4 linked regions of the Arabidopsis thaliana genome follow. The protein of the gene in region 1 interacts with the protein of each later gene in a pairwise test. Each region holds a gene or a part of one and is shown on either strand. Other genes may lie near its edges.

The links.
Region 2: the proteins of PYL5 (region 1) and HAB2 interact in binary tests that used the Arabidopsis thaliana proteins (3 or more experiments, as listed by UniProt).
Region 3: the proteins of PYL5 (region 1) and AT5G51910 interact in binary tests that used the Arabidopsis thaliana proteins (3 or more experiments, as listed by UniProt).
Region 4: the proteins of PYL5 (region 1) and HAI3 interact in binary tests that used the Arabidopsis thaliana proteins (3 or more experiments, as listed by UniProt).

The regions. Positions count from the first base shown.
Region 1 is NC_003076.8:1,604,531-1,612,355, reverse strand, and holds PYL5 (Polyketide cyclase/dehydrase and lipid transport superfamily protein), read right to left. Parts: upstream 3,369-7,825; 5' UTR 2,983-3,368; coding exon 2,371-2,982; 3' UTR 1,829-2,370; downstream 1-1,828. Other genes in the region: AT5G05450 (P-loop containing nucleoside triphosphate hydrolases superfamily protein), read right to left, coding at 10-279; AT5G05430 (RNA-binding protein), read left to right, coding at 6,086-6,103, 6,251-6,282, 6,359-6,622, 6,704-6,826, 6,928-7,081; AT5G05420 (FKBP-like peptidyl-prolyl cis-trans isomerase family protein), read left to right, coding at 7,533-7,706, 7,786-7,825. UniProt on the Arabidopsis thaliana protein: Receptor for abscisic acid (ABA) required for ABA-mediated responses such as stomatal closure and germination inhibition.
Region 2 is NC_003070.9:6,029,948-6,039,274, reverse strand, and holds HAB2 (homology to ABI2), read right to left. Parts: upstream 5,006-9,327; 5' UTR 4,359-5,005; coding exon 3,615-4,358; intron 3,417-3,614; coding exon 3,066-3,416; intron 2,971-3,065; coding exon 2,865-2,970; intron 2,671-2,864; coding exon 2,336-2,670; 3' UTR 1,877-2,335; downstream 1-1,876. Other genes in the region: HLL (Ribosomal protein L14p/L23e family protein), read left to right, coding at 701-734, 979-1,070, 1,176-1,640; AT1G17545 (Protein phosphatase 2C family protein), read right to left, coding at 5,367-5,687, 5,766-5,968, 6,151-6,166; AT1G17540 (kinase with adenine nucleotide alpha hydrolases-like domain-containing protein), read left to right, coding at 6,634-6,790, 6,863-6,960, 7,060-7,181, 7,271-7,522, 7,613-7,796, 7,878-7,934, 8,039-8,116, 8,214-8,621 and 2 more. UniProt on the Arabidopsis thaliana protein: Key component and repressor of the abscisic acid (ABA) signaling pathway that regulates numerous ABA responses, such as stomatal closure, seed germination and inhibition of vegetative growth.
Region 3 is NC_003076.8:21,092,201-21,099,660, forward strand, and holds AT5G51910 (TCP family transcription factor), read right to left. Parts: upstream 3,692-7,460; 5' UTR 3,609-3,691; intron 3,503-3,608; exon of another isoform or gene 3,408-3,502; 5' UTR 3,386-3,407; coding exon 2,504-3,385; 3' UTR 2,366-2,503; downstream 1-2,365. Other genes in the region: AT5G51890 (Peroxidase superfamily protein), read right to left, coding at 1-135; AT5G51900 (Cytochrome P450 family protein), read right to left, coding at 1,481-1,747, 1,793-2,254; AT5G51920 (Pyridoxal phosphate (PLP)-dependent transferases superfamily protein), read right to left, coding at 5,002-6,714.
Region 4 is NC_003071.7:12,605,529-12,613,207, reverse strand, and holds HAI3 (highly ABA-induced PP2C protein 3), read right to left. Parts: upstream 4,534-7,679; 5' UTR 4,354-4,533; coding exon 3,985-4,353; intron 3,897-3,984; coding exon 3,579-3,896; intron 3,486-3,578; coding exon 3,084-3,485; 3' UTR 2,858-3,083; downstream 1-2,857. Other genes in the region: SMO2-2 (sterol 4-alpha-methyl-oxidase 2-2), read left to right, coding at 409-438, 1,068-1,205, 1,396-1,541, 1,708-1,827, 1,923-2,135, 2,195-2,311, 2,396-2,450; AT2G29370 (NAD(P)-binding Rossmann-fold superfamily protein), read right to left, coding at 5,845-6,027, 6,118-6,224, 6,303-6,519, 6,626-6,833, 7,058-7,149.

The sequences.
Region 1 (7,825 bases):
TTATCTTACCTGGTGAGGCTTCGGAGGGAATGAGGTGGATCGACGGAGGATTTCTACGAGGGGAACGACGAAAGCTAGGGTTTTTCCAGAACCAGTGGCAGCGTCGACGGCAACATCCTTGTAACTACAGAGTAAAGGGATCGTCGCGGCTTGAACCGGAGTGCAGAACTCGAAATCAGACTGATTAAGAGCCTCAATGATATCTCCGGAGAGTGGAGGTTCGAGGTCGGAGAAACGCGTCTCCGTTAGAGCTTTGTTTATGTTCGCCGATGAATCCATGACGGCCGCCGCTGCCTCTCGTTGCTCACTTCCCGCTTTAACCTTGCAGTAACCTTGCAATGACTGAAAACAAAACGCAGCGTTTTGATCAATTCGGTTCGGTATTATGTTGGAATTCACAACCCAGGCTTAAATACTGAACCGGTAACCAATTGATGCCCGGATTTCTCCCAGAAAAGCTTTACTAATATGAAAGAAATGTATAATTTCGGCCCATTTGTTTTGAGCTAATTCTTGGGCCTCGCCACTTATAAATATTATTACCGTTCTTAATCAGACATTTGAAGTATCTCAGCACTAATTTGGGACAACAAAGGATAAAATGTCACGAATAATTTTGTAAGATGTGGTACGATAGTTTACGTATCTTCATTTTTGTGTATTATAAACAAAAATTACTTTTAAAATTTTAATCATTTGTGTATATATGGATTTGAATATGGTGGTGACACGATGATAGTGATAGAATAGTACAAATATGTTTATCTCAATTTATTTGTTCGAAAAGAAAGAAAAAGAGGATGTTTTACCAAACACAAAATAAAGTGATACAATAGATTATAAATATAAAGAATTTTGTAGCAATAAATACTATGATATTTAATACTTATCTTTTGATTCGTACCAAAAAAAAATAAAAATTGTTATCTTTTGAGTTTTGATATTGGTTATACATTTGTTTTTCTTTACATCCAATATTATATAGTAAGATAATTTTAATAACACTAATCAACATTTAATCAATAATATAGTAGTGTGCTTGATGATATATAATACTCTTTTGACAAGATTTTGATAATTTGTTATTGTCCTTGTTTGTATTATTATTAAAAGGAAATTGGATAAAAAGAAATATTAACTCTTTAAGACCGGCATAAGGGTTCGTTGTATCATATCCCACTAGGGGCAGAAAAAACTAGCAAGTTGCAACGCGTTTCCAGCTAAATTTTAATTGCATGTCCTTTTAGACTTTCTTAAATACAAATTTTGAATCGAACGAATTATAATAAACCCACCAGAACAAAAAAAAAAAAAAAAAAAACAGTAGACCAAAAACTTATATTTGAATTAAATATAACCCACTAGGTTGGTTGGTTATAATTTATTAACAAAACAAACGGGAATAAAAAATGATAATCTCCACTTGACCAGACTAGTAGCCAATGAAAGACTAGTTGGTAATAGTTTAAGCACGTCTACTTTTGCTTTAGGTCTAATATATATGTTTTATGTAAATGCACATGCTAATCAGGTTTAAATTCCATAACCTGGTTTATAATTTCCCTCTTAGTTAACACGCAGTTCCATCTACATATAGTACCTTCTAATAAATTGTTACGTCCCGAGAATATTATGTGTAATAGACAGATAATTCGAATATATATACTCAATACTTAAAGGTAATTTGATGTTCCCTTAATATGATCCATGATGACGATAAATCTTAAAGTTAAACGAATTGGAGTTTTTTTATTTCTGAACTTTTATCTCTCTGGTAATATTATAGACAGTGGAACAGTTATTGGCTTCATTCTAATTGATTCTTAGATCAGAATATCGGCTTTGTATTATATTTTCTATTTAGAACATTTGGACACAAGGATCAACCAACAAAAAACAAACTTATAGTAATGTTACATACTATGAAGAAATAAATTAATAAGTCTATCATTAACAATACCGATGCATCAAATATTCATTTACAAACCACAAAAGAAAAAAACGGTTAAGAGTAACATTTAAAAGAGTACAAGAAATTAAACAATGTCACAAAGAATGATACCATGTACAAAACAACAAATGGATTAATTCATTTAACAGATTCACCTTAAAATGTTTTATGTACCAGTACTAACACCCTCCAAATCCAAAGTTTTGTGAATCCCCCAACAGTACTTCGAAATTTCCAACATAAATCTCCCAAAGAAATCCCCATTAAATTACAATTCTTTCTAAGCCGATATATCTATTTAAAAAGAAAGAAAAGGTACTCGAAATTTTCTTCCTTGTAAAGAAGATCGAACATCTAAAAGAAATAGAACAACAAAAAAAATTAGATACATAATTGCAATTTATATAAGAAAGATGAGATTATTGCCGGTTGGTACTTCGAGCCAGAGACTGAAGGTTGCACCGGACGATAGTATCAACGAAGCTTAGAGTTTCCTCCTCCGTGTTTCCCGGCGGCACATCAACGATGTAAGACTCCACCACCACGGTACCTTCGTCGTCCGACGCGTGTAGTGTCGTCACCGATCGGTAGTTCTTGAGCCTGTGGTCCCCACCAACGACACTAAAGCTTATCACGTGACGCTCCTCGTCCAAGATCTCGAGCCTCTCGGTGCTCGAGACCGCCGGGAGTCCAGAGACCACCATGACCTCCCGGAGATCGCCGACGTGTAGTCCATCGCCTTGGACGATACGGCACTGTCTGATGAAGTTCTTGTAAACCTTCGGATTATCGAAACGCCGCACAAGAGCCCACACGGACTCAGGCGGCGCGTGGATCATCTGCACCACCGAGGAGCAACACTGGTCCGGACCAACGTCGTGTGTGTGGTGCATCGCAACGTGTTCAGGGACATGCATACCGCGCGTGAGACACACTCTCTTGATCGGACCATCGGTCTGATCGTGAGGCTGCAGCGTGTGGAAACCGTTAGTGGCGTCTGAGCCGTGTTGGAGTTGCACCGGTGACCTCATGATCTCTCCTCTATCTCTTAATTTGTTTTTGGGAGAATTTATGGAATCGTATATATTGCGATCGAGAGAGAAATAAGTTTGATGAGAAAAGAAGAGAGCTAGCTTTTTGATCTTGTTCGCTGTCGGTTGTCAAGTTGGTTTTGTTTGAGAAATTTAAAAAGTATGATCATCTTTTATTTTATAACAATAACAATAAGATATGAACATTGTGTGTTTTTAAAAATATATATTTGAAGATAGATGGATAGAGATAGCTGGGGATGTGAAGGCTTTGTGTTTGTATGTATATAGAAACAGTTGTGTATATAGACGCATTTGTATCATATAGATGTGTGTGACCATGTATGATACATTGTACCATCTTATGCCCCCATGATTTCTTTCCTCAGACGCCTCCTTCATTATCTTGAATATATATCACCAAAATTAATTGTATTCTATAGATCCCTCATTTCCATCTTGATAAATTTTATATTATAGAATCTACAAGGTTTATCTACATATGAATACTGTTAATAAATTGTTCATAGAAAAAACTGAAATTTCAGAATTAGTTTTATCTTTTTTTTTTAAATAAATCATTAGTTATAGTAAAATATGTTGCTGTTATTGTTAAAATTTACTTATTATATGCACATTCTGATCTTAATCTACTAAAGTGATAGTTATGAGAAATAACATGTACAATTTTTGAATATCACACGACTGTAACGCGCATGATTGATTGATTGTGGTAAATTTTAAGATAGACATGGTCATCATGGCGAAGTAAAAACTACATACATGCATGAGCACACGTGCATGCACAGATGTTGATGGGTTTGTCATATATGTGTAAATGGCGTATGTAAATGTGGTGTATGTATGGAGAGAGAAAGTCGGAGGACGGTGAGAGACCTTATCAAAGAGCTTACGCCGGACGAAGCAAGTGGATGTTGCAACTTGCAATCTTCTTTGGACTTGTTTAGGTGGAAGATTATCCTTTCCTTTTTTTCTCTATTTTCTTTTGTTCTTGTTGCCCATTTTTATATTATATTCTCATCATATAGTACAAAGGTTGTTGCATCGCGACTTTGTAATTTTTTCAATAAATAATAATATTTTGCGACATGGGTATGGTACTCTACATCAAGTTTCATGTACACTCGAATTGTATAGGCATGCAAACGTGCAATTTTACTATTTTTTTCTAAACCAACTATGATAATTGTCGTAATTAATTATAGAGGAATGCATTCAGTAATCCCACTACATTTTTTGAAAAGACTGATCTACAAGAAAATAATATTTATACGGTATAAATTATACCCTGTCAATGAGATAAAACGTAAAAAAAAAATGTAATCGTAATTTGTAAGACTAGTTAATAAATCTTGTGGGTTTTTAGAAATATTCGACCATCACACCAAAAAAAACAAGAGACCACATGTGGGTTTTTAGATTTTGTTTAACTTTCTAATTAAAAATTCAAGGCCCAATCGTTTGTTTTTTTAAAAATATTATACGAAATCATGCCCTGTAAGAATAACGAGAGAGCTTCACGGAACTCATAAGACCATCTCCAATGGTGAGAGCCTCCTAATGGGATCTCACCATTTTTTAAGTATAAATCTTTTGAATTTGTAAGATGAGAGCTTCTGATTTTTTTGAAAGATTTTTCATAGTCCAATGGTAAGTCTCTTTTAAAAGAGTTGTCTGGAAAAAAAATTATTCACAATAGAAAAAATGAGAATCATAGAAGAAATGTCTAACATGAGAGGCTGAGACCATATATTCACAATTCCTTACCATGTGAAAGCAAGTAAATAAAGAGGAATGAGATAGGAGAGAATAGAAATGCAGTAGACTTCTTGACAAATTAAAACATAAAGGTCAAGGTCAATAGAAATGTAAAACGATATGTGGAATGTTCCGTTGTATGGTTCCGGTCAGACATGATATTACTCTGTTGGAAACTTGCTGCAGGAAATAACAACATATCAGGTTCACCACTAAATGATTGCAAAGGAAGATCTATGGAAAGTACATAGATGCACCAACAATCTAAACACATGGCCATCACCTTTCCAAGCTTGTAAGCCCTCTTCACTTAGAAGAGCAGAACCAACGAAAATGAGTTCCTTCACTCAGAGTATAATCAACCAAAATGAGTTCCTTCACTCACTTTTGAGAAACTGCAAGTGGTACAGCCAGAAAAATACCCACCCAAATGGATTATCCCCTGAAGCTCTCTCTATTAGCCATCAAAAGTGATATTAGTCAGATACAAAACACCGTAAAGGAAACTATCGAAACACAAAGATTAGACTTTACCACAGGTGGGGTTGAAATATACTTCACTAGCTTCTTCACGTTAGATGGGTATCTCAAATCAAAGCCAAGATCCCTTAATCAACCTAAAATGTCCCTAAATTCTTTTCCAAATCACCACATTAAAATCACAATTAGAACCTCAAATTCCACAACCTTTTGCAAATTCTAGTTCAATAGCTACGAGAATCAAAGAGCAATCGAGAGTAAAAGTCCAAAACCCAGACAGACAAAATAAAAGAAAAACAATAGGACAATGAAAACCGAGAGACAATCGAATTTAAGAACAAACAAAAACAGTTCTATGAATCAAGACGAACGATAAGATTAGAAGAACAAACCTTGCAAAGTATGGAATCCATGAATCTCAGAGCCGATAAGCCTACCGAAATCAACGTCGGCCAGCTCGTTTCAGGTAAGTCCAATGATCCTCAAAGTCCCAGTGAAAAGATGATAGTAGAGAAAAAAAACGGAAAAAAAAAAGAAATACTGAAAAACAACGACACGTATGCGTCTCTCTTCAGCTCCAAAATCTCTCTTAAGAGAAACGATTCTCTCAGTATTAAACCTTTATGATTTATTTTTTTCCACAATAATTTAGAGAGACTGTCATGAGAGCTCCATTTTTCTCCCGTTGGAGATGCTCTAAGATACTTAATAGGAACCATATGGGGCTAACTAATTCAAGGCCCAAAATAAAAAGAAAAAAACAACTATAAATGCCCTCTTCAGACCTAAATTAAATCTGTTAAAAGGGTTATCGAGTCTCGCTCTTGTCGAACAAATTTTAGCCATGTTCTCATCCACCATGGTACTCTACTCTTATGGCTTTTCTGATTCACTCTGGTTTCTTATCTTTGTTTCTCAATTGATGGTTTCTTCACAAGTTTGTAAGAAAAGTACTTGCAAGTTAGTTAGCAGTGCAAGTGTTTCTGATTTGATCTCCTGTACTTTTTAGGGAGCGAAACGGAATAACATTCCAAAACTGAGGTAAATTGAGAATTTGGTATGTGTAAGGTGATGCATGTTTTCAGATGTCACGTTGATAGTATTATTATTATTGCAGTGACGTTGGGAGGATTAAGGTTACGGGATATGACACTGGTCTTCCGCTTGATGATCTCTACACGGCGTTGGCAGAACATTTCTCTTCATGTGGAGAGATCTGGGAGATTTATATTCCCTTAAAATTTGATGAGACTAATACGATTCTCAACAGGTTTTGGTGGCTTCTTCCTCCTCCATTTCTTTCCAACTCATCAGCTCAAGTTAACGTGGGAGGATGGAATGTCTCTGTTGAGGCTTATCCGTATCCGGCACACGCAAACGAGTAAACACTGATTTCTTAAAAAAATAAGATTTGTTGATAATAATAATGTTTATCATCTCCGGCAATATCCTATTACTGCAGTAAGGTTATTGTAAGAGTTGAAGGATATGATACTTCGCTTAGGAAGAGTCAAATCTCGAGGGCTTTGGTTAAACTTTTCTCTCCATATGGAAATATCATACGCCTCCATTTTGTCAAAGAGAGGTTTGAGGCTTCTTTCTCCCATGTTACCCAACTTTCAATTTATTTAAAATTATTACTCTTTAACGACTAGAGACTTGTGTATTTTGTTGATCATTTTTCAGCTCAGTTAGAGCTGTTGTTCACGGAAAAGACGTAGCTGATACCGTGACTCAACTTAATGGGAGCTACATGCGAGGACGCAAATTAGCTGTATTGGGTGACTGCCAAACCGGAAATACCTATACGCCTCATTCGCCGCCGCGTCAATTTCAGTAAACCTATTCCTCCTCTCCAAGATCCTTCTGCCATGGATGCAGCCATTCCAAAAAGCAGGTAAATTAACTTTTCTATCCTTCTCCAGTCACTTTTGTATCCTATAACCACAATTCAAATATTACTGTAAAATTTAGCTTTTCTTATTGAAATGGTTTTAACTAAATTCCTTCATATATAAGATCCTCCGGCATACTCTTTTCAAAACAATGAATAGAAGTCAGCTTGAGGTTTCCTTTGGCTACTTGACTTCAGTCCATTCTTCTGCCTTAAGTACTTTGTTCTTTTTGGGGTAATCAAAAGTAGTCATGTCATTTGGGATATATCAGTTAGTACATTTGTTATTGGTATTCGATATTATTAGCTCACAAGTAAATGGTTCTTTCAAATTCTTTCCCATCTTATAAATTTCTATGCTTTTTTCTTTTGATATTATTGCAGGAGTGAAAGCTCCATGTCCCCATCTGAATCTGCTAAGAAGAATGAGAAGATAAGTGAGGAAGCTACAGTGGAGAGTAAAGCCTTTTCTATTAGTGTTGAGAAGCAAACGCCTGACCTAGATGGCCTCATTGTTGAAGAGTTATGCATGGGAAACCCCAACGGCAAGAAAGCTGAGCCTGGCAAAAGGGTATGAGCATTTAGTCCTAAACTGTTGTAGTTTGTGTGCAAATATTTGTTGGAGGTCAGTCTATTGTCTCTGAGTGCAGGTAAGTGTCCATTATACTGGAAAGCTTCAGGGGAATGGGA
Region 2 (9,327 bases), on another chromosome or scaffold:
GTTTCAAAAAAAAAGGCGTTTCGTTGGAGCTCCGCTTGGAGAAGCCATTTGGGGGGTTTTATTTTGTCTCTTGTCTGATACAGATTACTAGTGGGTCCCAGTGCTAGCTTCAAAATGGACGGCATCGGTGAATTGTTCCACTTGATCAACCTCTTCTCAGCCGTTTAACTTCTTGATTTAGGAATTTTTCATAACATTAAGAAACTTTGGATTTTGTCTTTGTAAATGCATGAACAATCAACAAAAGTAAAAAGTTCGTAGCAAAAAAAAAGAAGAAAGAAATGTTTGTTATTAGGGCATCACCATTGTTTATTTTTGTTAATTAAGAATTTCAGATTTTGTGATAAACAAATGTTATAGTACATGTGGAAAAAATGTTATGGCCCCTGGTTTTAAAATGTAGGAAAATAAGGTAAATACGAAAAAAAAGGAAAAACGTAGGCGGCAGGATTCGAACCTGCGCGGGCAAAGCCCACATGATTTCTAGTCATGCCCGATAACCACTCCGGCACGCCTACTTTTGACAACGTCACCACTTTTTTACTATATAATTTAATCCATGAGTAAAATCATTACAAGCCCAAATGATCGCTGCGACAGCGAGTGTGTGACGTTAAACCCTAAATCTGGTGTCTTTGTGCAATCGCAAGATTCATTCACTCTCTGCGACACTAAAGATCGAAACTTTTGAATTGCAGAAATGGCGACAGCTTTAGCTTCCAAGCTCTCCAAAGGTACATTTTCATCTCTTAATATTATTATATTCGATAAAGTTTGGTTCTTTAAAAATTAGATTTTTTGCAACATTGATTTAGTATAAGTTTCGAAATGAGCTTTGAGTTTTTGGGTTTGTGATATGTCATGGACTTTGCTTTGGTTCATGAAATGCAGACTCAAGATTAAAACTTTTTTGTTCTTGTTGTGAATGTCACTAATTGTTGGTGATGTCGTTATATGATTCATCGACAATATGAGTAGGACGTTCATTGCTTGGAGGTCTTTGCAATGCTTTCTCTGGTTTGATGAATTCCTCCTCCAATGGAATGATGAATGGAAGCATCCTCTCTCAGGTCAAGCCTCTTTTCGCAAATATACGTCCTTGATGAAACTTTCTTCATATGCATTCGTGGGGTATAACCTGTGAATTGTGTGTCCTGATGATTTCCAATTCACAGCAACAACATAGGACATTCATTCAAATGGGGACGATTCTCAAATGCGTGGATAACTCGTGTGCTAAAGAGGTGATGTGCATTCAATCCCTGAGAGGTAAGAAAGGAGCAAGACTTGGCGATATCATTGTTGGTTCAGTGAAAGAAGCTAACCCAATTGTTCAAAAAAAAGTAAAGAAAGACGCTATCCCAAAAGGTAAAGTGAAGAAAGGGATGGTCGTGTACGGTGTGGTTGTGCGTGCTGCGATGCCTAAAGGACGTGCTGATGGAAGCCAAGTCAAGTTTGATGACAATGCCATTGTAGTTGTTGGCATTAAGGAAAAGAAAGGGCAGAATAATTCACATGGTTCCAAGAGGAAAATGGAGTACAACCAACCGACTGGTACCCGAGTGTTTGGTCCTGTCCCGCACGAGATGCGCCTCAGGAAACAGCTCAAGATCCTTTCTTTGGCTCAGCACATTGTTTGAGACAATACACCACACTAAAACATCAGTTATGATCTCCTTTATGTGACTCTCTTTGATCCATTCATCACTTGGGTTTCTGTTGATTCTTCAACTATCCAACTCATTATTTTTGTTAATTCTAATGAATTATGAAACCTTAACGTACCAATTATGATCTCTTATTTAGGTTTCTTTTAATTGTTAAACTCTACTCTCTTAGTAAAAAAAGCAGGGGAAATAGCTTTAAACAACCATCCTTCTCCAAACCCTTCACTTAGTTTTCATGTTTGATACAGCATCCCTCATTAAACACTTTGGAATCAATATTACCTGTTGTATAACAATAACAATAGAAAAGACAATAATAACTCTTTCACAACAAGTATTTATATATAATAGATTACAGAAAAGTATTAAGGTGAATGTGACATAAATTTCAGTTACAATTCCTTAAGCCACATCTCCAATATTACAACAACATATCCACCTACAAGACTCCAAAGTAAAAACATTTCTTCTCTATTCTTCTTATACATAACAAACATACACATTCAAGTCCATGAGAAAAAGGAATGGACTTCAGCTATGCATCAAGGTCTTAATTCTTCTTCCCCCCAACATTTCACTTCTTATTTTTATGTAAACTTGTGGAAATTTTTTCAATAAATAAGAAATAATAAAATTATAATAGTGTAAGAGCTCGAGCATACACTGTTTCAAGATCTGGTCTTGAACTTTCTTTGAGCTTTCAAGTCGATCACTATGATTGAGATATTGTCTTTGCTTCCCATTTGAATAGCGAGTTTGGAGAGATATTCAGCCGCAGCTTGACACGCTTGGTCTTCTCCTACACCTCTCTCAGCTAAAGGCAATGCTCCATTCTTCTTGTGCCAAGCCAAGATCCGCCTCCTCGCAAAATCGCAAGCTTCTTGGTTACTCATTACGTCCCAAAGTCCATCACTGGCCAATATTAGACACTCGTCTTCTCTAGCTCGTGGCATAAACGTCACTTCGGGATCTGGTATTACAAATGGCTCCAGATATTGATCACCTGAAAACGATGCAGATTGAAACCCACTTTCAGGAGATCTCATGATTTTGCAGAGACTGTAACAGGTAGTAATGATCCTCATCTCTAAATAAGGTTACTGAATGTTTAATTTATCGATAATTTTGACCTATAAAACTCTCTTCATATTTCTGTCACTAGGCAAGATGGAAGACATAAGTGCAAGTTTGACCTACCGATGGACCTGGACATGGCAAGAACGCCAGAAACACGAGCGCCTTGCCATTGTATAACTTTTCCTCCAGCTTTCTCTATTCGTGCATACTCATCCTCTCTATCTGGCTGCAGAGAAAGGGTAAGAAATTTCATGAATTAGAAATAAGAAACTTTCTCAGATTGTGTTAAATTATTTTAGAGGGAAAGAGAAGATTTTTTACTTTGTGATCAACTGATAAAGGCATGGAGTCTTTGCCTCGGAGTAAAACTGCTCTTGAGTCACCACAGTTTGAGACTATTATATGCGATGAACAAACCAAAGCAACCACAGCAGTCGATCCAACGGTTTCAGGGGAAACAGCTTCAAGAACCATCCTATCAGAAGAACCAACAACAGGTCTGTTGATTTTCCCTTTAACCTCATCATCGACTTTTAGGTAACAATCTACAAAGACTTTCTCCCACTGGACCTGCCTACCCTCGCCAGTGTTCCTCCTACACAATTCCTCTTTAATCCGTTCGATTTCTTCAGCCAAAGCAGAGTGGATTCTATCATGGCAATAGTCAGCAACCTGCAAGAATCCGATTTCCACCAAAGCCGTCATATATTACATAACAACCTGCAAAGAATCCCGTTTCCAGCAAACCCTTTATCATATATACATACAACCTACGTCAACAAAACATAAACTCATGTATCTTCCGGGTTCATAGTTGAATTAACTTTCTACTGCTAAAATCAGTATAAGGATTTACGAACTACAGCATACCTGAGCGCCTCCGTGGCCATCATATACACCAAAGAAGTGACTAGTGAGATATGGGAGACTTGGACTCATCCCTTCATGATCCCCCATAAGCATTTTGATGGGTATTTTGAGAAAATGAGGTAAAGCTCTAACAGCATCCTCCATTTCAGATCTTCCACCGCAAATTGAAATCGTGCCCCAAAGAGGTATACACTCTAGTTCATAAACACTCCTGCTTCCTCTTGCTACATTAGGATTTTCTTCAGGTAACCTAATGACTACCTCAGAAGTTGCCACCTCCATATTCACATCGTGATTCAGACTCGCAATAAGGACTTCTGCAGTGGGAACCTGTTCTATGGTTGTCTCGTTTAGGATAATGGCCGTAGCAAGAACTCGCCCGTTATCAGTTTCAACTGTATCTGGCAAACTTATCTCAGACCTAGCGTCCACAACTATTAAACCTTCGCTAATAATAGTCGCATCAGATACTAATGGCTCATCTTCTTCTGATTCCTGGACAGTTACACTAAAATCAGAAGACAAACTTCTCACTTCAGATAAAGTCTTCTCTTCTGAAACACTTCCCATAATACAATCCACCACTCCATTACTATATCTTTGTCTTTTCTGATTACACAACATGTCAGCTGCATCAGTAACATTCTCCAGCTCGGAGATATCGAAAGTAGATGAGATTCCAGAGTCACACATCGTATTAGCTAAACCCAAAGTAAGTGCAACTGCAGGTGAAATCTCTTCCATGAGCTGGTATGCAGCTTCCAAACCTCAACTGGAGCAAAACGATTCAAAAAACTTCATTTTCTTCTCTAAGCTATAGTCTGATGAACTCTACATCCAATTCAGCTTCCCACCGAGACCCACCAGCCGTTTATTCTCACCAACTAATCCAGAAAGCAGTGAATGACGAAGAAGTATGTACCTCCGCTGAACAGATCTGACGGATCTATGAAGACGGATCCTTTGTGAATTCGTGGGATTTTGATCACTCTAACGATCCTCTATAACTCTTGATCTTCATCGAATCAGAAAGACAATAAACTCACACAAACCCTAATTTAGAAACCCACAAAAAAAAAATCAGCCTTTTTCAGATAGATCACACAAGAGAGCAGAGAGAAGACACAAAGGTGAAAACTTTATCCAAAACAAAAACAAAAGTCAGGTGAAATTGAAGAGAAGGGACAACAAACAGAGAGAATTGATATCAATCAGCGAAATGAATCACAAAACACACAGAAAAACCTAAAAAAGTCGAAACCTTTATCTCTCTTATCTTTCCAAAACGAAACGAAACATGGGTTCTCCTGGATCTAATGAGGTTTTTACCCAAAAAATAAAATTAGAAAAATTATAAGCACTCCACGGAATCCCAAGTTTCTTTATGTGACAACGACCTTCATTATTAACACGTTGCTCCAATCAATTATAAAACTAATTTATTAATCTATTCAATAATGGCAACATAGATGACGCGTGTCCTTCCCTCTTAAAGGTCAAGTCTTCTGTTTATTCTTCTAATTTAGTTTTTTGATCCAAGATTGAAAGTATGTTCATGACATATGTTCATGCATCTCATGACACATGTAGTGTTATCATAACGTGGTTAAAAAATAGACAACGAAAGACTTTTCTCGGAGACCAAAGTTTGAAATGGGCCTACATTAAGGCCCAGTCAGCGTCACTTATATGGGCTCTAGCGTCCACTTGTTTACATTAAGGTAAGAAACTTCATTAGCTCTGTCTCAGCTTTTATACTTTCTGATCAACTGATAAAGGCATGGATTCTTTGCCGCGGAGTAAAACCACTCTTGAACCACCACAGTTGGAAACTATGATATGTGATGAGCAAACCAAAGCAACAACAGCAGTTGATCCGACGGTCTCAGGGGAAACAGCCTGAAGAACCATCCTATCATCAGAAGAAACAGAACCAGAAACAGGTCTGCTTCTTCTGTGGCCATCATAAATTCCGAAGAAGTGACTAGTGAGACATGTGAGCGTTGGACTTATTATCCCTTCATGATCACACATAAGCATTCTGATAGGTAGTTTGAAAAATGAGATAAAGCTCTAACAGCATCCTCCATTTCACCGCAGATTGACACAGTGCCCCAAAGAGGTATACACTCTAGCTCATAGACACTCCACCTCCTTCCTCTTTGCTACATTATCATGATGACTTGTAGTAATAAGGACTTGTGTTGTGGGAACCGCATCATCATTCAGGATAATGGACGTAGCAAGAACTCGCCCATGATCCTCTATTCCACTTCCATTGTAGCGTCCACAACTATTATTAAATTCCACACTCGCTTGTACACGGCTGTTTGTTATACGAAAATCATTATTAGCTATATATTATATACTCCATATGGTTTCTTTGAAATATCAAAGGTCCTCCTCATCAGCGACATGAATCACACACAAAAGACAAAGTCCTTCAAACTCAAACCCTTTTGCCCTTTCAAAACCAAACAGGTTACCCCAAGATATTTAACACGTTCGTCGAAACAATTATAAAACTAATTTCAACCTTTGGATTTCCTCATGGTCTTCTTCTTTCTTCTAAAAGATCAAGACTGCCTATAATTCCAAATTTATCTAGTTTACATATATATCAATATAAGATGCCATTACACAAATCTAAAAATAAAAAATCCTCTTTTTGTCTACAAGATATGATATGGAATATCCTTTAAAGATAAGTCGTCAACTAAAATTAAAAAAATCCTCTTTTTGTCTGCCTCTCTGTTCGTTATGACTGTTTAGATTGTTGGAGAAAAGAAAAACCTTCTAATTTTAGCAAAGTGCCAAAACCATTATAAGTTTAAATTTTCTCAACAAACAAAACAGCTCTCCTCTCCTCTTCTCTTCTTAATTCCTTGTTATCATTTTCATTATCATTCGGTCTCCTTATTTCCTCCTTCTGAGGGTAATTGAAAGACCGTACCACAATGTCTTTCTAGTTTCTCCAGAAGCAAAAGTTTCCAGCAATCATCTCGAGGGCTGAGAAACAATGGCTGCAAGAAGACTCAAAGGAAAAGACAGCAAAGCAGTTACCGCCATAGCCATTGATAAAGATAAGAACAGCCAACACGCTTTGAAATGGGCTGTTGAGAATATCATCATCGATTCTCCAAACTGTATCCTTCTCCATGTTCAAACCAAACTGAGTACGTAATGGCATCATCATCATCATCATCATTGTTATCAATCCATCAATCTAATGAAAACTCTTGAAACAGGATTTGGGGCAGGAGAAAACACAGAAGCACCACATGACAACCAAGAAGAGGCGCATCAGTTCTTCCTTCCCTTTAGAGGATTCTGTGCTCGGAAAGGGGTCAGATATCAACCTCTCTTTCTCCTTACAACAATCACATATATATATATATATACACATAGCTCTCACCGACCTCATTAATTATATATTTTCTCTCAGATTATAGCAACGGAGGTTCTTCTTCACGATATTGACATCTCGAGTGCAATTGTTGACTACATCACCAACAATTCCATTTCAAATATAGTCATTGGAGCCTCTGCTCGAAATTCTTTCCTCAAGTCTCTTTCTTTCTCTCATATAACCTAAACTGTAATCTTAATCTGAATGCTAAATCCTATAACTCTCTGTGATTTATGGTCTTAATCAGGAAGTTTAAGAGCGTAGATGTGCCAACGACTCTGCTTAAAACAACACCAGATACATGTGCTGTCTTCATTGTGTCTAAAGGGAAGCTCTTAACAAGCAGATCAGCGAGTCGGCCTCAGACACCTCAAGGTCCTCACACGCCTCAAGGTCCTCAGACACCTCAAGCTCCTCAACACCCTCCTCATCCTTCAAAACATCCCTCAATGATGTCTGATCCTGGCCCAACAAGTTCCACTTCCAGTGAATCCGGAAGGTAATTAATGAACTCAAATTTTATCCGGTTGTCTTGTGAATGAATGCCTTTTTTGCTTCATAGTAGTCATTGGGTTTGCCAATCTTGCAGGTCATCTCCTGCATTGAACGGAGAATTATCTCCACCTACACCTCATTACAAGCCATCTTTGTATAGGAGTTCTATGTCAGAGCTTAGTAATGAATTTCCCAGCGATCACAGTGCTGAATCAAATGCTAGCTTCTACAGCATCCTAGGACGATCCACATATGGAGGAAGCTCACACTCTTCCATGGTTAGTATTCCCATCACGTTTCAAATCGATATTCTTACCACCTATTTGCCTGGCGTTGACATTTTTTTTTCGAATCTGTAGTCTGAGATAACTGATGGAGAGGAAAGCTTATCTGGGGGCAATATCACTGAACACCAGGTAAAATTAATGTTTCAGAAAAGTAGATATAGTGTTTCGGTTATGCTGAGTGTCAGATGCATGATTCTGAGATGTTTGTGTTCTTTGTGCATGACTATGATCAGAATCAAAATCTTGAAGCAGAAGTGAGAAGATTGAGATTCGAATTGCAGCAGTTTAATGCTTCCATGTCCAGAGAAAGTGTAAGATACTTACTTCCATGAGCACAACCGAGAATGTTTCCTTGAACAGGTCCCAAAGATGAGTGACTAATATCAGACATTGAATGAATGCTTGTAGGCCCCTCATCTTCTAGGACCTAGAGCTACCGCCGAAACTGAAAGGCTGGAGGAAGCAAAGGCAGCAAGAGAGATGCTTAGGGCATTGTCTGAGATGGACAAGCAAAAAACACAGACTGCGATCCAAGCAACTGAAGTGGCACAACGTCTAGCGGAAATAGAGACCCAGAAGAGACGACTTGTGGAGATGCAAGCCAGGTTCAAGGAACAGAATATGGCCGATAGTATTTCCTACAGACGATATAGCATCAGAGATGTTGAAGGTGCTACCGACGGTTTTTCAGATGCTCTAAAGATTGGGGAAGGAGGGTATGGACCTGTGTATAAAGCCGTTCTTGAAAACACTTCTGTTGCCATCAAACTCTTGAAGTCAGATGTCTCACAAGGCCTGAAGCAGTTTAACCAAGAGGTAATAATATAATCCGACATTATCCTAATGTATTGCATGTCCTCTCCATACTAATTAACATATGTGTCTCCTCACTAGATCGAGGTTCTAAGTTGCATGAGGCACCCTAACATGGTGATCCTCCTCGGTGCTTGTCCCGAATATGGCTGCCTGGTGTATGAGTACATGGAAAATGGAACATTAGAAGATCGTCTCTTTTGCAAAGATAATACTCCACCACTATCTTGGAGAGCACGGTTCAGAATCGCTGCTGAGATTGCTACAGGACTTCTTTTCCTTCATCAGGCCAAACCCGAGCCGCTAGTACATCGAGATCTGAAGCCAGCAAACATTCTGATAGACAGACATTTCACTAGCAAAATCAGTGACGTTGGTTTAGCTCGGTTGGTACCTGCAGCTGTTGCTGATAGCTTCTCCAACTATCACATGACTGCTGCAGCCGGTAATGATACTTTCATTTTACCTTAAACAACAAATCTAACTTTCCATCTCCTTTTAACGTCCTATCATGGATCCAATTGCTGAGACAGGTACATTTTGTTACATCGACCCCGAGTACCAGCAAACGGGAATGCTTGGGGTGAAGTCTGACTTGTACTCATTTGGTGTGGTGCTTCTGCAAATCATCACAGCGATGCCAGCAATGGGTTTAAGCCATAGAGTAGAGAAAGCAATTGAGAAGAAGAAACTCCGAGAAGTTTTGGAT
Region 3 (7,460 bases), about 19 Mb from region 1:
AGTTTCAAGTATGATTTTTTCAGCAGCAGGGCACGATTGATCATAGTAATGAGCATCAAGAGCAGCTTCTGAGGGCTTAACTATCGCTAAAACCGCAAATATCATCGCAAAAATGAGTCCCTTCGAGAATGCCATTTTATGGTAATGTGTTTTGGGCCTCGAAAAGCACTCTTTGTTCTTGAAGTTGTTTGAGGATTTGATGAATGAGAAGAAGCGGGGACTATTTGGCTTATATAAGGAGAGAAATGAGAGGCTAATATTCTAGAAAATGTGTATGTGTATAACATATGCTTTAAAGTTACTCAAATTATTTGGAACAAACATGTATCTATTCCAGTATTCAAATTCTTTTCTCCCTAAAATCGTACTTTGAGTCTAAGCATGTACTTTGGTGCAGAAGAGCTGGACAGAATCTGTTTTTGGTAACTATTAAAAGAATCTATTAAAACGTTTTTTAAAATTTTTATATAAAATAAATGGATGTTATTGTAATTAAAATTTTACTTAAATATTTTTAGATACATTAATGGAACCTGGAAGTAATTTTCTTTAACTCAATTAATTTATAAAAATTGTAATTTGTTTTTGTTTTGCCACTTGAAAAAAAATATTGTAAATAGAATCTTGATGGTGCCAAATAAGGAAAGAACACGAACGGTTTAGAATACGGATGGTGCCAAATAAACCACATGAAAAGGTGGTTGTTGTGGTTATTAACTTAAGCTTAAATATGAGTAATGAAGACTAAAAATCAGATGTAAAATGGTGGCATTTTGATGTGTTCGTGTGTGTGTGGATAGAGTAAGATTGAAAATGAATAAAGAAGAGAATTAAACGAGAAGATGGTCAAAAAAGGGTAACTACTGTTGAGTTATGCCTATCAGTGTTTGGTTTCAATTGCCTTGGCTTCGCAGTACGGTTGGTGAAGGATTTTGTGGTACTATTTTTTTTTCTGCATCTTTTTTGTTTTGCTTCTCACGTGTACGGCACTATTTGCATTGTAGTTACGGATATTATAATAAATTTTTTTGAAGAAAATTTTAAATTAGAAAATTACTTATTTTGTCAACAATGAGAAAAAAAAAAAAAAAAAAAACAAAAAAAACTGGATACATAATTTGGATACGGTTGAAAACAAAGAAACAAAATTTTTTGTTACGGTTTAGTTTACTTTAGTTTCGGTAGAGAAGAAATGGTTTCGTAATTCGTAGAAATAAAAATGGTACAGTATAATAATTGAAACAACATTTCTTTTTTGATTTCATCAGTTTACTAACTCATGAATTATCATTCTTGGATCGAGAGTTACATTCTTCTAAACTGTCATTGAAATCATTAAAAAACCATTACTATAATTTGTCTACAATAAAAACTAAACCTCAAGGTAGATCACACTTAAACTTGTCTCCTTATTAATACTCTTAATTAGGCTATGGTTTCGAAATAGAACTTAAAAAAGAACTTGATTATTTCACTAATATCAAGATGAACATCTCTTGTTAATCTTAACCTTAAAGCCATGCTTCATTTTAAGAATTAAACTAGTATCTGGCTCAAACTTCTGCCCGTTGGCAACCTTGATGTCATAGTTTTGTAATATCTCCACCGCCACAATCTTCATTTGAACCATAGCTCTTTGTTTACCATGGCATATTCTCGACCGGCATTGAATGCTAACTCTCCGGTCTCGGAAATCCATCTCTCTGGCTTGAATTCTAATGCATCTTCTCCCCATACAGCTCTCATCCTACCCACCACCCCATAAATAAAGACCAAAATCTTGTTTAAGTACATCTTTGTTTAAGTACTCCATTGGATCACAAGATGGTCTCTCTTGGCCACTACAACTTCTTGGTAGATTCATGTCAATCTCTTGGCGAATCTTGGTCACCACTAGAGGGTTTTCGGACAAAAACCAAAAGAACCAAGTGAGAGCAGAGGCAGTGGTATCTCTCCCAGCTAGAAGTAAAGCAAAGACATTGTCTCTTAAGAATTTATCATTGATAGGATCCAAGAGCTGGTACTGGGTTGTATCAAGCTTTATGTGAGATGTCAAAAGATTTGCATGACTATCTCTAATGAAATGATCATTATTATTCACTTGTGATCTTTTTACCTCTTCTCTCCTGGCTGATATGTATTTCCCACACACTCGATCAAAAATGGCACCAGCTTCTATCATCTTCTTCTCCATCCCAACTCCGATCCAGCTTTGTAGCTTCCACGAGAATCTAGGTTTAACGTGCCTATACATTATTCCTTCTACTATTGTGTCGAGAGCTTTAGCAGACTCAACCTCTGGCGTTTTAGCAGACTCATTTTTAATCTCATTTTGATTTATTTTTTAAAAATGATAGGATAGTTCCATTAATTACCAAAATGTTTGACAGAAACATAAAATTGAAATTGTGCTCCCAATTCTTTTACAAATCTTACTTAACCTAAATCAGGAATCAAACTTACTAAAAACTAAAAAGAAACTAGAACTAAGAGTTAAAATTCCTTAAGTCTCATGACATGAAGACGGAGATGAGTTCCCTGAGCCACCCAAAAACTGAAGCTCTCTCTTATCATAAATCTCCAACGAAAAATCCCTCAGCGGTTGCGTCGTTCCGCCACCGCTCGTTTCCATCTCCGCCTCAGCGTCTGAAGCGTTTGAGACATAACTAGACACCGGTCTAGCACCAACATTCAGAAACGGAGCTGTAGCAACGGTAGGAATAGCCCACATTTGGCCCATTTGATCCGGCCCACCAGTAACAAACGCAGTACCCATACCCATAGGCCAAAACGGCACAAACCCCTGTGTATTAACGTTCAGGATATTAACGCCGTAGTTTGACGCCGTTATCGGAGCTAACCCAGAAGTAACGGAGCTATGACAGCTGTCATTAACGTCTACGAAATCGCTCGTACAGTTTCTCTTCCTCCGTTTCTTTATTAGGTCACCGTCACCGTCACGGCCGCCGTCATTCAACACTGGAGAGCTCGTCGGGATTTTTAAAGTTCCGTTAACCGATACAGCAATAGCCGGTACAGTTCCGGTTCCGGTTGCTTCAATTATCGCCGGTTCAGCTCGTTCCAATAACCACCGTATCGTTTCTCCGTCGGATTTGTGACCAAGTTCACGGGTCAATTGAAAGACCCGAGCAGCGCAACCCGCCGGCATTCGGATCCTCCGACCTCGTCCTTCTACTTTCGTGTGACGGTCTTTAGAAGTCGGTCTCTTCGGAGCCGGTTTAGTCTTCACCGGCTGCAAATACCCGTCTTCTTGTTTCATGAGCATCATACCCGGTTTGGTTTTCGGATTCGGGTCAGACAGATGGGTCATGGTTGTTACTTGGTCAATCACTTGTATCGCGTTGCCTTCGTGATTCGATTCCATTTACCACAAAACCCTAGAATATCTGAATGTCACAAAACTTCAAAATCAGCCGAAGAATTGATTCAAGTAGGATATAGTCAAAATGTTTAGTTTTTACTGATTCTTTTGACGAAAAATGTTATCTGTTTGAATTTGACAGATTGAAAACTAAAGAACAGTGGATAAAAAAAAGTGAGGAAACCCTACAAAGGTAGAAAAATAAAATTAAAAAACCACAGCTAACCTTATCCTCTGCACGAAGAACCCTACAAAGATGGAAGAAGGGGCCCTCAAGATCATCGTTTTTATTTTTATATAGTCCCATTACAAATCAACGGTCTAGATCACATACTTCATATGGGCCTGTTTTAGCTAACTAATGGGCCTTGGCCTCGACCACATCACAAGAGTCATGTTGTGGAGCTAATTTTTTTTTTTTTATTGATAGTTGTACAGTTGAACCGGTTTCCATTTAAGAAGTGAACCAAACCAACCGAATTGGACAAAACCGAGCCATAACTAGGGCAATACAAAACTTAGCTATCTCAAAACTGAGTACTATTGACAAGTGCAGCTTATGTTCATTTCTGAGTATTATTGACAAGTAAAACCATTATTGTCTTGGTCTGAATTCTATCACCAAAACGACTAGTCTCTATTTTGATAGCATGTTACTGTTTTCGTAAAAACCAATTTGGTGTACCTAATCCCTTGTTGATTTTGTTGTATACAAGGTTGAAAAACTTTGGTCCCCACGAGAAGATTGGAACTGCGTAGTAAAACAAATAGTGCATGATTTACAACACCAAGATTCCAAACTACTCGGTAAATATTCTTGCAAGCTTAGGGTAAGCTTTATAAGAAATGATGGCAACAAAAAATGTCAATTACTAAGCATGACTCTCGAAGACTAGAGTATGAAGCTTGGAAATAAGGTTTCACCCGCCAAAAAGAAAACAATTCACTATTCATTATTTAATACTATATTTATAAGTTAAAATTATCAACATTGGTCATTTGTAATAATCTTTTGATGTTGACTACTAAAAAAATAGATTAAATAAAAGTATTATTCCATATTTTTATAATAGATTGATGTTTGGGATTTTTTCACATATTAAAAAAAAAACATTATCTAATCATTAACATTTTTTATATTAAATATTTTTAAGTTTAATTATGAGCTAATAAAATTAAAAGTTTAATTATTTTCAATCATTGCATTTTGAAATTTAGTATTTATCATACTAAAAATAAAAATAAAAATAACATCTAGAAAATCATTTGTGCAATAAATTTTATAAAATCAAAATTTTTAACAACCGAAGAAATATATAGCTGATATGGGTTTATTTTAGTTATTGGGCATTCATTTGCCCCGTTCATATCTACTTGACATCTAGGAATGAGCGAATTGTAAATAAATATATATGAGCTACCTTTTTTCGAAAGTTAATTATTTTTTTTTGAATCAGTAGCAAAATCAAAATTAGTGGGAGATAGAGGTGCTACTTGGACGCTAATGTTGACGCTGACTTTGTACTGAACAAAAATCAAAATTTTCATTGATACTTGAACCGGTTCTGATGTAAGAAGTGAACCAAAGCAAACCGAGCCAAAACTAGGCTATATGTTAACTAGACTACTTCACGGTTCTTATGTTCAAAAACATGAACTCCACATCTCACACTCTCTTTATCAACAAACTCTGAATCCAAAAACCGAGCAACGAATATCCAAAGTTTATAAACATCTTCGAAATTAGCAAGAAACCCTAACGCAGCAGTGAGAACAGAGATCCTTGGTTCGTCGACGTCTCTGTTTCTTTTCTTCTCAAAAACTCTATCTTTCACGCCTTCGTAGTCTTCTTGGAACAAGATGTTCTTCAAGAAACTTTTACCGAGTGAGATGTTGCTGCATTCGGCTAACTTCTGCACGATAAAAGGTTCGATTTTTTCGCCTTTATGGTTGAATAGATTGAACGCAACCGCTGGTCCTCGATTGAAATTAACTTTCGGACCGTAGATTTTAACTAGACGACTAGTTGTTGAATGTTTGAGTTTGTAGAGAGCACTTACCAACCAATTTATCAAGCATCTTGATCTGTTCCCTGTTGCTACCAACCCTAGTGAATCTACATGATCTAGGCCTTTGTATTCGACACTAGAGCTAAAGCTATATGTTTCTTCCGAATCTGTTTGTGTTCGGTTGATTTCCAACGCGTGTAATGAAATCGGATTGTCGGTAGGTACGAGGTTAATCATACCTGGACCAGTGGAAGATTCAAGAATCGATATGGTGGATTTCTTGACAAACAAGCAACCAAATCCGGAAGGGTTTTCTCCAAACACCTTGTAGAACGAACACACCATGAAATCGGGGTTATATATAGAAAGCCCGAAACTATCCATATCCTTAGGTCCCAAACCGCATGCATCGATCATTACATGCCACCCATTTTCTTGTGCCACACTCATCCATAGATACGGATACCTAGATCCTGTAACCCTAGAATGAAGCGGAAAGACGTAAATACCTTTCTTCTTCGTCTTGCTTCCGTTTTTCCCAGCAGTAACCAGTTTTCTCAGCTTGGACGAACAGAGTTTGAGTCTTGGCCATGAGAATTCAGCTGCAGCTACTTTGGCTCCACGTTTCTCAGAGACTCTGTTTATTTCACTCACCGCCTCACTCTCGTAGTCGTAAACCGTCAAGAGCTTCCGTTTTGAGTTAAACGGGTAAGACTCGGCGACGAGCCTGAAAGCAGAAGTTCTATTAGCGGTGAAGACCATTGAGTAGTCTTCCTCGGAGATTTTGAGAAACCCCATTATTCTTCTTTTCATTGAGTACTCAAACTCTGTTTCTTGACCTCCATCGTTGAGAAGCTTTTCCTTAAGGTTACCAATCTTGGGAGAAACACTGAAGAAGGGACTTTCAGACAAGGAAGAAGAGATCTGGTAAGTGGAAGGGTCGTAGTTGAGCAACTGAGAGTAAGAGTACAAACCAATTCCTATGTAATCAAGACATGTGTAATGTGATAAACCCAAGTGAAAGTAGTGGTCGGATCTAAGACGGTCGATCTTGTAAGTGTCGGAGTAGTTGGGGTAAGCTTGGATGAAATCGGAGAAAGATTCTTGATGAGAAGGAAGAGAATTTGGGTCGGTGAATTCGGTGTCCGGGAAGATGGTGGAGACGGTGGTTTGGGCGAAATTACGGCGGAGAGTAGCGGAAGTGACGGTGGGGGTTGAATGTGGTGGGTGTTCGGAGCTGGTGGTACCGTGAAATGGTGACGATGAGAAGCAGCCGTGAAGGCAGTTTGGTGGTGAAGAATCTCCGGGAAAGGGTTGGTGCATTTTTCTTCTTTTTTTGGGTGCAAAAGATTTATGACTCTTGTAATTGTCAAGTCATTAGCCTATCTTGTGTTAAATAAATACGCTAAAGTCTAAAGTTTATAAAAGTAGTGCACCTAAGACAAAAGCTTGTTTCTCTTTTCTTTTACACTAAAAAGAAAAGCAGAAGCAAATTAGGCGGGAATAATGATGATTATCAAGAAAATACTGAAAAGTGTTCACTTTGTCTTGTTTCCGCAAGTGTTTTTTTTTAGAACGCGTAGAGTTTAGTGGTCAAGAAAGTGTTTTCTTTTTCACTTTTGTTTCCTTAGCTATTTACAATGCTTACATGCTAAGATATACCACTATGCCCAATTGAGTAAACAAAAACAGCCAATAGTTATGTTATATACATATCTATTTTTTTTATGTTATATATCTTGTTAATGAAAAAAAGGCGGAATATAAAAGATTAAAAATATACCAATTCTTTTAGTTAGTACAATAAACTCTATTTTTTGTATCAAATAGCTATCAAAAGAACACTGATCTGTCTGTTGGTATATCGGCCTCGCTCCTCAAGCTTCTATTATTTAATTTACAACGTTATCAGAAAGTGTAAACATCACACTGCGTTATTTGTTTATTTTCTCATGTTATGTTATTACTATCGTAAAAAGGACAAAGTTCTCTGGTCGATCGTGGTGGTGGTTAAAGGAGCACGCGAACCGTTCGAGGACTATAATGATGAGCGGGAGTTACTTTTACAA
Region 4 (7,679 bases), on another chromosome or scaffold:
ATCTATGTTTGTCTAAAATGTGTGTGTGTTTTTAGTCTTCTCTCTGAATAATATTAGATTCTCATTTGTACTCTCTATTTATTTAGGAGAACCCAAATTCAAAACTTTTTTTAGTCTCTTCACCACCATAAAGCCATAATCACTACGTATTGTTCACTTCAAAAATTTAACATGGGGTGCCAATTGTCACATGTAAAACTATATGGTCCTAAAATTAAAAATATCAAGTAATTAAGGATAATAATGAAACATGTGTGTGCACGTGTGATGGAGAGAAACAAACAAATCAGCTTTAGAATTCAGATTCCTTCTTGTCACACAGTTTTCGTTTCTCTTTCTCTTTCTCTCACACTCTCTGCCTATCTCCGCCGCGGAGATCCATCGTGTTTTCTACTTCTGTTGGTATCCATGGATTCTCTCGTTGAATCCGGTTGGAAGGTACTTCGTATTCCTCTATCTCGTCGCGTTCCTTTGTATGCGATTCCTACGTTTTTTTTTTTTGTTTTGTTTTCAGAGATTGAATCGTGTTTTTTGTTTCTCGGTCTCTGGCGACTTGAGTGTACTGCATTTATGATACAAGTGTAGGTACGGGATTAGTATCTGCCGTGTTAGGTTGATTTTGTGTTTGTCGTCTGTGGTCCATCGTATTGTATTGTTGTGGTCCCTTTATGTTGAGATTGAATTGGTTTCGTGTCGATTGCGTTGTGGTTTCAGATCTGGATTTGACTGTTCTAGTTACAGATTATTACTGATTTCGTATGTGATCTCTGTTTGTGCTTGTATTTTTTTTTGGAATTTGAGTGGGATTTATGTATTGTTGTTGGAGCTTGGACTAGCTTAGAGGATCTGTGATTGTGATACGTGTTGATAAGCAATAGGTTTTCCTTGAACGTCTTCTTAACTTGCTTTTCTGCGTGAGTGACTGGATGGATGGTGTCAATGATATACAATTGCCTTCAGTTTTCGTGGAATTGAACAAATTTTATCTCCCTTTGGCAATCATGTTTAGCTCTTTAGTTTGACAGTTCTAGCTGTGACACTGACCCTTCTTTGTGGCGATGATGCAGTACCTTGTTACGCATTTCAGTGACTTTCAACTGGCGTGTATTGGGAGTTTTATACTTCATGAAAGCGTGTTTTTCTTGTCTGGACTCCCTTACATTTTCCTAGAAAGGACTGGTTTTCTGAGCAACTACAAAATTCAGGTTTGTCTTTTCTTCTCATGATTCAGTGGTCTTCTAACTAATAGCTTTGTGTGTCTGTTCAAATATAAACTGAATGGAAAGATATCACCAAGTTGTCAGTGTTCTCATTTCCCCAATGGTAATGTCAAAGTGATAACTGGTTTAGCTTGTCTTCTAGATTTATCAAGTACTCTTGTTTGGTCTTTTGCAGACCAAAAGTAATACTCCTGAAGCCCAGGGAAAATGCATTGCTCGACTATTACTTTACCATTGCTGCGTAAACTTGCCCCTCATGATGGCGTCGTATCCTGTATTCAGATTCATGGGCATGGAAAGCAGTTTTCCTCTGCCGTCCTGGTATTATCAGGTTCTTTAGTGCTGAAAGCTTTTTTTGCCTTTGGGTTCTGATGTTAAACTCTTCCAATGGGCAATATATATAAAATGTCAGTGTTGAGCTGCATGAGAAGAACCTGCATTATGTTTGATCTGGTTTATGAAACTATATCTGGTGACGCTCTTGCAGGAAAGTGGTGTCTGCCCAGATCTTATTCTACTTCATCATTGAGGATTTTGTATTCTATTGGGGTCACAGGATCTTGCATACTAAATGGCTCTACAAGAACGTGCACAGTGTGCATCATGAGTAAGCTATCAGTACTCACCATCTTTTTTGTGCTTGACAATGTTAGTTCACTCATGGTCCTCAATAAACAATCTTATGGTATTACTTATATACAGGTACGCGACACCGTTTGGTTTGACATCAGAATATGCTCATCCCGCTGAAATTCTGTTCCTTGGTTTTGCTACCATTGTTGGTCCGGCTCTCACCGGGCCTCACCTGATCACCCTTTGGTTATGGATGATGCTCAGAGTTATTGAGACAGTTGAGGCACATTGTGGTTATCATTTCCCATGGAGCCCCTCGAATTTTCTTCCTCTATACGGCGGGTAAGATAAGACTTCTAACCTGTGATTGCCTTGAAAGAGCAACACCTTAAACCTAACAGATCTTTAATATTAATGTGGGAATCATTTGCTTACAGTGCTGACTTCCATGACTACCATCATCGATTACTCTACACAAAGTCTGGCAACTACTCATCAACGTTTGTTTACATGGACTGGTAAATTATTGAACTCTGTTTCTTACTTTAACAGAAGTCATAACTATAATAAACATGTAAATATGTTTATCTATGTTACTTCAGGATCTTTGGCACCGATAAAGGTTACAGAAAACTTAAGGCCCTAAAAGAAACCTGACAACAAACAAACGTGAAATTCGATTCCCGAGAGAGGTCTTGTTCTCAAAAAACCTTCTTTCTTTTGTTTTGTCTCTACCATTTCCTCAACTTTAGTCATAAGAACATCATTATTTGCTACAATTTGGGTTGTACAATCAAAGCTGCTAGTCTGAAGTCGATTCGATGTTGAAATTTATACGTGACCTCGTTTCTATTGGACTTGTTGTTACTACTGCTTACTGTTTTTCTTATTCTTTAGATACTGCTAATACTCATAATTGCATTTAGAACCTATGATCTACTCTCATGTCTTTGCCTAGCGGCAGAGACTAAGTACCTCTTAAAGTATCTTAATGCCTAAAAGTAAAAGGTATAGTATAGTCTGACAATCTTTTTTAAAGCAAAATGCTTTTACATGTCGACCTTCTTAATTTGATTTGATTTAAGATTATAAGCATACACGAAACAGGATTAGGGTTGACAAGAATAATTCTTATCATTTCTATTAATTAACCCTTTTTCGGGGTTTCCATAAAATCGGGTTAATTTTGTATACAACCAACGTATTCCAAGAATAACCAAAAAGCAAAACTGATATAGAAAGTTAAAGCAAAATTGTCTTCCTCTTCGACTAGTGTCCACTTACGTGTCCTTATCTTCTGAGATCAATCACAACGACACTGACGTTGTCACTACTGTTCCTTGCCAACGCCAGCTTTGTTAGCAATACTGACGCTTCCGTACAAGCCTTGTCCGAAATCGCCGGATCCTCATTATCTTGTCTTCTCCCACCACCACGGAGACACATACGCGCTACAGAGCAGGCGGTCTCGTTTGACACAACATCCCATAAACCATCACTAGCTAGTATGAGGCAGTCATCGTCTCTCCTGTCCGTTATGGTTACCTCCGGCTCGCAACTCACGTAAGGTTTCAAATAGTTGTCTCCTATTGCTCGTGACATTGCTAAGACTCCGAGAACTCTTGGACAGTCCCAATATATGACTCGTCCACCAGCTCCTTCGATTCGATCCAATTCGTCTGGCCGATCAGGCTGTGTTTCATTACAAAGAACACAATCTCCAAGTTAATCCACAAATCCAATCATTGCTTAAATGAAACTGAACATGTTTTGAACGGAACTGACCTTGTGATCGGTTGATAAAGGGACTGGTTTCCCATTGCGGCAGAGAACTGCTCTGGAATCGCCACAATTGGCGACAACGATCTTATCTGGCGTAATGACTGAGACAACAGCGGTTGATCCGACGGAATCACAAGCCGGTGTTTGTAGATCACACTTGCAATTTGCAGTCACGACGGAATCACCCCACGATACAACTTCCTTATCCATGCGTGTGAAGCTACGCTCCATCGTCGTTTTCCATTCTTCTTCATCTTCCATATCTGAACTTAGTTCTTCTTGCACCAGCTTGTGAAGCCTCTCTCTACACCTTGCTGCAACCTAAGGAAAAAAAAAAGATTTCGTATCAGCTAAAACTGAAAACATAGAATTTCGGAAAACGTAAGAATGCATGGTAACGGAGTCGTACGTGGGAACAACCATGGCCGTCATACACACCAAAGTAGTGTTGAGGAAATTCCGAATTCTTCGGAGAAGAAAATGAAGGATGAATTGCCACCGCATCTTCCATCTCTCTTCTTCTACCGCACACCGAAGAAACACCGTATCTTGGACTGGATACGTCGACATTTTGGTCAGAGAAATCCTCCCGAGAGCTTCGAGGAATTGAAGAGTATCTCGTAGCTAAAGCCTCCTGTTTACTACGCTTACAATTCTTCTCCCAATCTTCATGCATCACCGTTTGGAATCTCGGCCTCCGCCGTGAATGTGCCGGCGTTGATTCATAAACCGACGACGGACATGCGTCGGTCACTACTTCGTAACATATCTCGGCCATATCCGGGGAAAAAAACCTTAAACTTTGATGTCTTCAAATGGATTTTGCTCTGTATTTCTGATCAAGAAGAACAAAACTCTTTCTTAGATGTTTCAAGAAATGTTTTCTTTTTTGATGAACTCTTTCAAGAACTGGTGATTCCTGTTTTGGTTGCTTCACTGGTTAATAAAAATGCTCGAAAACCATTCAATTTGAGAAATAATGTCATTACACGTTACTTGCATTCTCTATTTTATACACAAAACCTGCCTCTTCAGAAACAATTTTAAATTCTTTCTATAAAAAAAGTAATCCACGTAAGGCGTCAGTATCGAGTGCGAGATTCGTGGTCCAATCAAATTGAGACGGCACGGATGACGGATCATAGGAAGTTTCCTTTCGCGCCACGATGCTTTTCCCCGCAAGGTAGGTTTTGTTTTCTGTATTTAAATAACTAGAGGAATTTCATTACGTTAGTTTTCACATTTGATTACATGAATAACCTAAGTTTAGGTATAAATCAGTGTTTACTTTCAAAACCTAACAAGTTTAGTGCTAATAATTTATGTTTGTCCCTAGACAGTAAACACGTTAACAAAGAAAACCTTAATAAACTTATATCTGAATTTTTATTATTATTGTCTTGAGAGTCCAGAGAATCATCGGAAATATAATATGTATGACTTATATGACAGTAATCAGCTATGTTGTGATGGCAGTCTGAACAATTATTAAACAAATTTATCATCGACAAAGCAATTTGAATTCTCATCGTCCAAATATCCAAGAAATGCGATAAAGTTTTATATACCCAAGAAGATTAAATAACAAGTTACATATATAGTTTGTTTTTGAATTTAGAAAATTTAAGGAATATTTTGTTTACATGTCTATTATTATGAGTCCTTGAATATGATATATGAGTATGTTTCCAACGACATGTCTTTTAGTTTAGTTGATATATAGAAGAAACTTGTTTTGTGCTATGCGTGAGAATAATAATAATAATAAATTTATATCAAATATATATATATATATATATATAATTATGAAGATAATTCTTTCTTTGTTTTGTGTTATGCGTGAGAATAATAATAATAAATTTATATAAATTAAAAAAAATTATGAACATAATCTTTACTCCTTTAGCAAAAGTAATCTTTTTAGGCTTTTAGCCATAACCCCCTAAAGATAGGGATACTAGAGTTGAAAATCGTACGGTCATCATTACATGACTATATAATCATATATCATAAGTAGAATATATACAATAATTATTTTATATATCAAAAGTCACAATACGATTGGAAACGAACAAACATCAAATGTGAACACAAGTAACTTCTTATCCGATAAGATAAAAGATTGAGTTCTTCGTCCAAACATTAGAAGGCATGAACGGAGTGAGCTCCCTCAACATAAGTTACATATAAAACTTGTATGAATTAATATGCAGTGAAACCACTAATTAATCACATAAATTTAAGCATGAATATATGCATATATACGTGTTTAAGGCAAAGAGAAGCCGTTAATAGTGAAACCTCCATCAACGCAAATGGTTTGACCTGTTATATAAGAAGCTGCGGGAAGACATAGAAATGCAACAAGCGATGATACTTCATTTGCCTCTCCAACACGTCTCAATGGTGTCACACTCTCCACCTTTTCTTTTACATCTTTATCACCGAGGAACTGAAACATTTTCACATAAACTTCGTAAGAAATAGTTAAACCATTTTTTCATACTATAAATGAAATGTATTTTCTTATTCATTGTCTTACATCTTTAGTTGACGGAGTTGTAATGAACCATGGACAAACAGAATTAGCCCTTATATTATCACTCGCCCACTCGCATGCTAAATTTCTCGCCAGCTGATTCATGGCTCCTAGAATGCGTATACATTTATTTAAGTCGCGATAGAAGCAAAGAATCATAAATTGTTCGAGTATGCGTATAATTATACCTTTGGTTGCTCCATAGATTGATGTATTACCCAAATTTACAACTCCAGCCACGGAAGACATGAGCACAATGTTCCCTGAACCAGAGGCTTTCAATAAAGGATGCGCGAGTTGCGAGAAATGGAAAGTTGACTCCAGATTTGTAGCTATTATAAATGAGAACTCTTCTGCTGTACACTCAGTCGTCGGCTTTAGTACACCTATTCCCACATTGGGTACCTATACAAACGAAGCAAACAAAATTCAACATGATTTTGGTCATTGTCGATCCAAGCTCATAGACGAGGAGGAGGAGAAGCTTATATATATACACACACACACTTACGAGGATGCTGAGTTTTCCTTGGAAGAGAGAGGAAACAGTTTCCATGAGTTTCTCTCGCTGGTCACGAGAAGAAACATCGCAAACAGAAGTGGTGACTTGTAACCCTTTTGCTTGCCATTCACGTAAGCTTTCTTGAAGCTGAGTTTCGTCTCTGGCACATGTGTGAACTCTTGCTCCCAACATGGCTAGTTCCTCCACCACAGCTTTTCTATTTATACATCAATATGAATTTATACATATCATTAAGCCTTTGATCTTTTCAGGGGTTGATTTGATTAAACATAGAAATACTATCAAAAGATCCACATAAGTCTATGATTGAGCCGTATTAACAAATAAAACGAAAGTCTATACATGATTGAAATCAGAGCTCAGTTTCGGTACTGAAATTATAGGGAAGTAAGTAATTAAGGTAGAAAAATTGGGACTGACCCGAGGCCTTTAGATCCACCGGTAACAAGAGCAGTCATGCCTTCAAGACTCCATTTAGGTTTGTCTCTCAAGCTTTCCCCTCTCTTTGCCATTTTTGGTTATCAGCCACAGAGCAGATATCTATTCATGGAGATTCTTATTTGTAACTCGGTATAGGAAAAATTATAGACCGTTTATACATATTATAATATCACACGTAACCATGCAAGTGTGTTGTAAATGGGGACAAAATATCGGATTCGACATCATTATTGGATGGTTGGTTGTACCAGTCCAGTCGGTTGAGTATTTAAAACTTCATAATTTTATTAGAACTAAATACAAAGTTCATATTTGAGAGTGGTAAAAAATGAATGTACAATATAAAAAACGAAAAGGATAAATAATAATTAGACATATGCTTAAACCTTCCAATTTACAGGTTTTTTTAGATGTCAACTGTCATTATAAATTCCAAAGTATCTGTGTTTGGATATATTTTGAAGTCATATACAAACTATTTAAATAATAAAAAAGGCACACTTAGCCTTCGTTTCTTCATTTTCTATACAATCATTTTCATATTGAGATACAACAAATAAAAATGTGAGCACCTGACTTTGATATATGGGACAACAAACAA